2 linked regions of the Canis lupus familiaris genome follow. The protein of the gene in region 1 purifies or fractionates together with the protein of each later gene. This does not show direct contact. Links are inferred from orthologs where the notes say so. Each region holds a gene or a part of one and is shown on either strand. Other genes may lie near its edges.

Region 1 (4,419 bases):
TTGAACTGCCGTGACTACAGCTATGACCAACATGCCTGTTCCCCAATAAGCAGTAATGACGAGCAGCGGTCCCCTAATGGAAAAGAAATCATGGCCTTGCTCAGCCTTCTGGGGCACTGTGGAATGAAATCACAGCACGTGAGAAAGAATTTTGAAAGCTGCCACTGCGCTTTACAAAGAGATAGCAAAATCATTAAACGCTGCCCCACCTTCTTTTATCAAACCCGGAAAAACCACTCACCTGTTTGGCCTCTCCAGCACCTTCCCCCCTCCCTGCCCCAACTGCAGCTGTGCGCAGCCAGTAGACTGTTTTCCTTAAAGGCCTCCGGGTGCTCGTAGCTTCTTTCAGCCAAAATTTTTAGAATGCGACTGGGGGGGGGAGGAGTAGCTCACCCTGAATTCATTTAGCTCTGTCGTTGAAACTCAGGTTCCTAGACCAGAGGCACAAAAACAAATCGAAAAGGCAGTTTCTGGGCAAATGGAAAACAGCTAATTTTGCAGGTGCTTTGGCATCGGTGGTAGCAAGTGAACGTAACATCCATACGGGGTGGGGCGGGGCGGGGGGGGATGATTTGATTACAGATAAAACGAGAATGAGATTCGCGACGAAAATCCTGAAACTGGACATTTAAATGCACTGCCCGGGGTGGGGTGGGGAGCGGGATCGGAAATGACGCTTGTGGTTTTCAAATGCGTTTTTACTTGGGAAAGCCGGGCGGGGAAAGGAAAGGTCATCGTCTGTTTAATTTCCACCCCCAGCCCAGGACGTCCAGCATTAGCTCGCCGGGCCTCAGCTGTTGTACACACACGGGGAGGGGGGAGGGGAAGGCGGAGGCGCGGAGGCGGGGCCGCCGGGGAGGAATCTGGGCGCCCTGCCGCGCATGCGCCCTCCCCGAGCAACAAGTGGCTCCACAGACAGAGGAAGTGTAAAGGGGAGGGAGGGGGGAGAAGTGGTGCAGAGCATGGCGGTGACGTCAGCGCTCCGCCCGGGCGGCATCCCGCGCGGCCAAGCCGGGGACAGCGCGAGCCGCAGCGCGAGCGGGAGCGCCGAGACGCGCCTCCGGAACGTAGAGTAACAATCACAACCCCACATTCCGGGCGAGTGCGAGCGGGAAGGGATGCGACCCGGGCCGAGGCGCCGCGCGAGCGCCCTGCAGCCAACGTGAGCGCCGCCAGCCGCGGCGGCCGGGGCGCCGGCCGGGCCTGGGGGCGGCGGGAGCCTGCGTGCGTGCGCTCCTCTCCTCTGCTCTCGTGCGTCCTGGAAGCGGTGGCCGCGGCGGCTCCCTCCGGCCGTGCAAACCCAGCCGCCGCCAGCGGAACGGCCGACGCTGCGGAGGGGAGAAGCTCCTCTCGGCGGCCACCCCCTCCCTCCCCCGGCGACTTCAGCAAGATTGGACCCGGGCACCGGGTGGCACTGAGCCCTCTAGCCTTCGCCCCAGTGAGCCTGGCGGGGAGAGGACGCAGCTCGTAGGGGGGCCCCCAGGGAGAGGAAGAGACCACCCCTTTCGAGCTTCCAGGCACCAGCCACTCCGGGGAGGGGGCCAAGAGCCCACGGCGGCCAGCACCCGGCACCCTCGCCCCCTCCCCTCGGGCCCGGAGCTCGCAGCCCGGGTCCGCGGCACCAGGAAGAAGGCGCCCGAGCTCCCCTCCCGACGACACAGCCGCAGTAGGAGGTGGGGGCGACGAGCGGGCAGCACTCGTCCGCCGCCCCGGCGGTGGAGCCCCCACGGAGAGGCGCTGCGCCGGCGGTGGAGACTCGCGCTCCCTCCAGCCCCTGGGGCAGAACTTTCTCGCCCCCCCTTCCTCCCCCGCAGCCGGACTCCCTCCCCAGCCGGCCAGTCCTCCCGGAGGAGAAGGCGCCGCGGAGACAGCCTGGGCGGGGGCCTACCTTCCCCAGGGCGGGCATCATGTCGGCGGCGCAGGTGTCCTCGTCCCGGAGACAGTCTTGCTACCTGTGCGACCTGCCCCGCATGCCCTGGGCCATGATCTGGGACTTCTCGGAACCCGTATGCCGCGGTTGCGTCAACTACGAGGGCGCCGATCGCATCGAGTTCGTGATCGAGACGGCGCGCCAGCTGAAGCGGGCGCACGGCTGCTTTCAGGACGGCCGCTCCCCCGGGCCGCCGCCGCCCGTCGGGGTCAAGACGGTGGCCCTGTCGGCTAAGGAGGCGGCGGCCGCGGCGGCGGCGGCGGCGGCGGCCGCGCAGCAGCAGCAGCAGCAGCAGCAGCAACAGCAGCAGCAGCAGCAGCAGCAGCTCAACCACGTCGACGGTTCCAGCAAGCCTGCGGTGCTGGCGGCCCCGTCCGGCCTGGAGCGCTACGGCCTGAGCGCTGCCGCCGCCGCCGCCGCCGCCGCCGCCGCCGCCGCCGTGGAGCAGCGCAGCCGCTTCGAGTACCCGCCGCCGCCGGTGAGCCTGGGGAGCAGCAGCCACGCCGCGCGGCTGCCCAACGGGCTGGGGGGCCCCAACGGCTTCCCCAAGCCGACACCGGAGGAGGGACCCCCGGAGCTGAACCGCCAGAGCCCCAACTCCTCTTCTGCCGCGGCGTCGGTGGCGTCTCGGCGCGGGACGCACGGTGGGCTAGTGACGGGGCTGCCCAACCCGGGGGGTGGTGGAGGCCCCCAGCTCGCGGTGCCCCCCAACCTGCTGCCGCAGACGCTACTTAACGGCCCGGCCAGCGCCGCGGTGCTGCCCCCGCCGCCGCCCCACGGCCTCGGCAGCCGTGGGCCCCCGACGCCCGCGCCCCCAGGGGCACCCGGGGGCCCCGCTTGTCTTGGGGGCGCCCCGGGCGTCTCGGCCGCGTCGTCCTCGGCGTCGTCTTCGACCTCGTCGTCGGTGGCGGAGGTGGGGGTGGGTGCTGGCGGCAAAAGGCCCGGCTCGGTGTCGAGCACCGACCAGGAGCGCGAGCTGAAGGAGAAGCAGCGCAACGCCGAGGCCCTGGCCGAGCTGAGCGAGAGCCTGCGCAACCGCGCGGAGGAGTGGGCCAACAAGCCCAAGATGGTCCGCGACACGCTGCTCACGCTGGCTGGCTGCACGCCCTACGAGGTGCGTTTCAAGAAGGACCACTCGCTGCTGGGCCGCGTCTTCGCCTTCGACGCCGTCTCCAAGCCCGGCATGGACTACGAGCTGAAGCTGTTCATCGAGTACCCCACGGGCTCCGGCAACGTGTACTCCAGCGCGTCCGGTGTGGCCAAGCAGATGTACCAGGACTGTATGAAGGACTTCGGCCGGGGTCTCTCCTCCGGCTTCAAGTACCTGGAGTACGAGAAGAAGCACGGCTCCGGGGACTGGCGCCTCCTGGGAGACCTGCTGCCCGAGGCCGTGCGCTTCTTCAAGGAGGGCGTGCCCGGCGCCGACATGCTGCCCCAGCCCTACCTGGACGCCAGCTGCCCCATGCTGCCCACGGCCCTGGTGAGTCTGAGCCGCGCCCCCAGCGCGCCCCCGGGCACCGGGGCCCTGCCGCCCGCCGCCCCTTCGGGCCGGGGCACCGCCGCCAGTCTCCGCAAGAGGAAGGCGTCCCCCGAGCCCCCGGACTCCGCCGAGGGCGCCCTAAAACTGGGCGAGGAGCAGCAGAGGCAGCAGTGGATGGCGAACCAGAGCGAGGCACTGAAGCTCACCATGTCGGCCGGCGGCTTCGCGGCGCCGGGGCACGCCGCCGGGGGTCCGCCCCCCCCGCCCCCGCCCCTGGGACCCCATTCCAACCGGACCACCCCGCCCGAGTCAGCCCCTCAGAACGGCCCGTCCCCCATGGCCGCCCTCATGTCGGTGGCAGACACTCTGGGCACGGCGCACTCGCCGAAGGACGGCAGCTCCGTGCACTCCACCACTGCGTCCGCCAGGCGCAACAGCAGCAGCCCGGTGTCACCGGCCTCCGTGCCCGGGCAGCGCCGCTTGGCATCACGGAACGGGGACCTGAATTTACAGGTGGCGCCCCCGCCGCCTAGCACCCACCCGGGCATGGACCAAGTGCACCCCCAAAACATTCCGGATTCCCCTATGGCCAACAGCGGGCCCCTCTGCTGTACCATTTGCCACGAACGTTTGGAGGACACGCATTTCGTTCAGTGCCCATCCGTCCCCAGCCACAAATTCTGCTTCCCTTGCTCTAGAGAGAGTATCAAGGCCCAGGGGGCCACCGGCGAGGTGTACTGCCCCAGCGGAGAGAAATGCCCCCTGGTTGGGTCGAATGTACCTTGGGCCTTCATGCAGGGCGAAATCGCGACGATCTTAGCTGGAGATGTTAAAGTGAAAAAGGAGAGAGACCCTTGAACCACAAGACGGCCACCTCCTCTGCCCCTGACCAGCTCCTCTCCGATCCAGAGGGCCCCTCCCCCACCCACAGCGACCCTCCCTCCCCTTGCCCCTAAGATGTAGAATTGTGAATATAACAAACTGCAAAAAGTTAGTCTTATGTATAGAC
Region 2 (4,327 bases), on another chromosome or scaffold:
AAATGCAACTACTGATGGATTTTAAAAATCCCCTGAAATTATTTATTCAGCTCTGTAGAATATTAAAATTTCAGGTCTTGATCTACAGTATGACACTCCTTGATATTTTCTAAATCTCCAAATAGCATATATTCATATCAATACACAGACACTTCCTGTGGTGAATTATTAGTCAATTTATGGTGCCAAAAGCTAGCTACAGCCTGCTAAGATAAAACAATTTCCTCCCTCTGTTTGCTAGTGTGCTCTTTGTGCGCTTAAAGGCTCTGGACATTCAGTGATGTACTCATCAGTAAACAGCTTTTGGGTACCTACTTGTACTAGATACTGGAGATACGAAGTTTAAGGGTTTTATTTTTTATTTTTTTATTTTTATTTTTTAAAGATTTATTTATTTATTTATGATAGAGAGAGAGAGAGAGAGGCAGAGACACAGGAGGAGGGAGAAGCAGGCTTCATGCCAGGAGCCCGATGTGGGACTCGAACCCGGGACTCCAGGATCGCACCCTGGGCCAAAAAGGCAGGTGCTAAACTGCTGAGCCACCCAGGATCCCCAGTTTAACAGTATAGGAACAGCATAGCAACATGCTACTGGCCCCTAATAAATAGATGAAACAGCTTTCATATGTGCCGAATGAAAATGCCTTTATTCTCCTCATGACCCGTCATTTCAAATAGGCTTTTGGTCTTCCTTGCTTAAACCACTTTCTCTGTTTTCTCTTTTTTCTCTCTTTCCCTCCTTTTTTTCTTTAAGGAAAATTATTAGGGGAAAAAATACCCTAAAAGTAGTTTTACCAACTATTTTGGGGTCCTGGGTCAGTCATTTAATCCCTCTGAGCCTCAGTTTTCTCTGCTGTAAAAAAGTGATACCAAAAAAAAAAAAAAAAAAAAAGTGATACCATCTCCGCCCGGTTCATGTCATGAGGAGCAGGAGAGAAGTTCTATGTAACATTCAGATCAAAATTTGAAACATACAGCCCGAAGTGTAGAAGTGTAAAAGGACATCGTAAACCAATTTTTAAAAGAAACAAAAAACCTTCCAAATAACGCATGGTATATGTACCACGGCAAACGCAGCAGCCTGGGTTCCCGAATCCCCACAGTGAAGACCCAGCCAAGGTTAAATTCTGTGGAAGTTTGCTTCCATGATGGATTTTTTTTTTTTTTACTTTTTTACTCAGCTCCCGAAAAAGAAACTTCCTGGGTTTTCTCTCCCTCCTAGGGTTCTTGCAGTGGCAGGGCTGCTTCCTGTCCAGAGCAGCTCTGCCCCGGCCCCTCTGTTCAGACTCTCCACCTCCTCTTTCTCTTTCTTTCAAGCACTTAATGCATTTAGAGACTGATCTTGTGCAGAAAATATCCCTGACATTTGAGGAGCTGCGGGGCGCAGTGAGCATGCTCCGTGGCCCTCGGCGGGGAGAGGAAGCTCGCTCGCATTCGAGTCATACCGAGCATAGCCAGCATGTCAGCGCGGTTCCCTTGCAGCGGGCTGTGAGGAGGGCGAGCGCGGCTTTGTCCGAGGAAATGTGCTTCGTGGTCTTCGTCTTCACCCCTTTTCTACTGCGAAGAAAGACCTGCAAAGACTTCCGAAACGGTTTTTAAGTGCTCCATCGAGGATACAAAACCTATACTGTCTACAAATAAACCCTCCAAGGGTTTCCGTGTGACTTTGATTTTTTTGGTGGCGTGTTTTTGTTTTCTCTTTTCTTTCTTTCTTTCTTTCTTTTTTTTTTTTTTTACTTTTACATACTTTGTTTTGATCGTCTGAGGCTGGGCCTCGCTGTCTTTGTGAAGTTTGAGAAGAGCCAGGAGCTACTCAGTAATAATTGATTTTTGAAACCTACTCTTTGGGGGCGGAAAGCAAAGAGCTGGTTTTCTGTGCTAGCCCAATAAATGCTATTTATGAAGATGGACCTGTTGAACTACCAGTACTTGGACAAGATGAACAACAATATCGGCATTCTGTGCTACGAAGGTAGAGGTTCTGTTCTAGAAATTGCTCTCCTATTGCTTTTGTTAAGGCCACTCCTCCTTTAGGGTTCTGAATGCCTTCTGTGTATTTTGCTCTCTTTCTTGGGATTTTAGGGTGCTTTGAAAGGCGAGTATTTATTATGCACTATTTTCAATACAAAGTTTGCTGTTTCTATCTTAGCTTTCAGGGTTACAGTGGGGGAGGGAAGGCAGTGAAATATAAACTGTTAAAAGTTTCCCTTTTGCTTGCAACATTAACTCTTCAAAATTTTTAACTCTTGATAATATGATTATTTTTGTTTTCTGCTGGTGCTCTCTTTAGAGGAAGAACTTCTAGGACCAGGAAAAGTTAAACGAGTTGGTCACCTCCCCCACCCCCAGCTCTGATACTTATTTTAAACATACACTATCTACAGTATTCATGTTGTATTCCAGTCAGTGCTTTGGATTTTCATGTAGAGGGGAACAGAAAGTTACAGTGAGTTTTTGTTTTCAGGAGCTATTGTCCCAAACAATGAAGAATTTTTCTATTCAGTTTGGGGGACTGGAAGGGCACCCATGTCACAAAGCACAGACTGGCTCTTTGTCTGATTTCCCATTTCCTGTACTGCTCTAGAGAGTTCTGACATTGAAGGATGTTCCCTCCACACTCCGGTCCCTTGTGGAAGTGATTGCACAACACACCAACCAGAAAGCTAAATTGAAAGAGAGAAAGAAAGAAAGAAACCTACTCAGAATTCTTCTTGTTTATCACCTCCTGCTAAACTGTGAGGTGTTTCCCCACCGCCTTGTAGCATTTCAAGCTGCCCCTGTTGGTAGGAAGAAGAGAAAAAGCGATTTCTTGATCTGTTGGAACATTATCTACGTGCAATTTGAAAAAGTGGAAATGGCCTGGGTTTGAGTGGCCGGAGAGGCATCTGCGGGGGAATTCAGCTTGGCAGGAGGGGCGTTTTTTGTTGTAACCAAATACAAATCGAGGAGGAGACATCTCCTTTCTGATTCAGTAGGAGTTTCCATGTTTTCCCTTAATAGTGAACTGAACGTTTCTTTTGAAAAAGAAAACATTGAGGAAACTTGTATTTTTCATGTAAAATTTCAGGCCTGTTACCTAGTCAGTTGAAAACTTACCCTTTCCCCTTCAAGGAACATAAAATCTCATTCATACTGTTTTTTATTTCACTCAGGATAAGGATCTCATACTTAAAATTTTTTCTAAAAAGTTATACGTATTTAAACTCCTGCTTGTTCCACTAATGAGAATTTTGGTGTTTGCTTTCTTTGAATCTGCTGTTTTTAACTATCGTGTTACTTCTGAAATCACTCATTTTAAAAAAGGCAGACTTCTTCAGGGTGGTGGAAGTAGCGAGTGACTGGGCTCATTTCTTGTGAAATTAATATACTGCAGTTTTTAAAAACATCTTTTTTTTCAGTGATCAAGAAATCACAAAGTCTTAAGGCAATATCTGGTGGCTTGTCTTTGTCATTGTGTAATATGATATTCTCAAACCAAACCAAAACAAAATAAAACATAACGATCCGCTTAAGAGAGGGATAGAGGGATTGCTAGGAAATTGATACCACATTACTTTTTTATGTCTTTAGTTGGGGGTGGTGAGGAAAGGCTTACGGAAAGCTCCACCAGGTTGATTTGTTGTTCTGTAGTCTGTAATATACTTGAGAGTAGTCTGCTTGAAGCTTCCCTCTTTTGGGGGGAGGAAGAAACTTTGATTTTGAAAGTTGAGTAGATATGTAGGATGATTTGCTATAGTTTGTTTGGTTTAAACATCTGCTGCTATTTTCCTTACTACGAAAGTTAACGTTATATTAACACCAAAATAAATACACAGGAAATGAAGAAAAGCACAGCAAAACTTGAGTGGTGTTTTTAGTGGGTTGTTTATGTACTGGTGGTTTTCTTAGTATAAACACTGCACACATCTGCTCTGAACTCAAAAGGGTGTTTTGAGGATGGGCATAAATCTCAGATGGGAATTTTTTTTTTTTTTGGTAAGAAAAGTTGGAACCATTGCTATTTCTTTAAATCCAGTACTTTGGAAATATTCATATTAAACATAGCAGCTCACCAGCATTCCAGGGAAGTTATTTGGAAAATGGAATGTACAGTTGGTGTAGGCAGCATTTGATTTCATTTACGGCACAGGCAGGTTTTACATCTCTTAAGAATAAGGGGCAATTTAATTTTCTGAGGTTTTAGTTTTAAAAATTAAGATGCGGATGGTTATTCTTATTCTCTAGGTTATACCAAATTCCTTAGTTGTATTGTACACTGCCGTACTCTGCAAATTAAACCATGTGTCTGCACTGTCATTTCTTCAGCTTCTGTGGCAACATATACACA

What was found.
Region 2: the proteins of IRF2BPL (region 1) and VGLL4 purify together in Homo sapiens (affinity purification with mass spectrometry; 3 studies listed by BioGRID and IntAct, counting the BioPlex papers as one, with this or other methods). This does not show direct contact. The link is inferred for Canis lupus familiaris from reciprocal best matches to the Homo sapiens genes IRF2BPL and VGLL4.

What each region holds. Positions count from the first base shown.
Region 1 is NC_049229.1:50,180,165-50,184,583, reverse strand, and holds the start of IRF2BPL (probable E3 ubiquitin-protein ligase IRF2BPL), read left to right. Parts: upstream 1-1,568; 5' UTR 1,569-1,907; coding exon 1,908-4,268; 3' UTR 4,269-4,419. UniProt on the Homo sapiens protein: Probable E3 ubiquitin protein ligase involved in the proteasome-mediated ubiquitin-dependent degradation of target proteins. Through the degradation of CTNNB1, functions downstream of FOXF2 to negatively regulate the Wnt signaling pathway.
Region 2 is NC_049241.1:6,903,134-6,907,460, forward strand, and holds the start of VGLL4 (transcription cofactor vestigial-like protein 4), read left to right. Parts: upstream 1-1,251; 5' UTR 1,252-1,890; coding exon 1,891-1,972; intron 1,973-4,327. UniProt on the Homo sapiens protein: May act as a specific coactivator for the mammalian TEFs.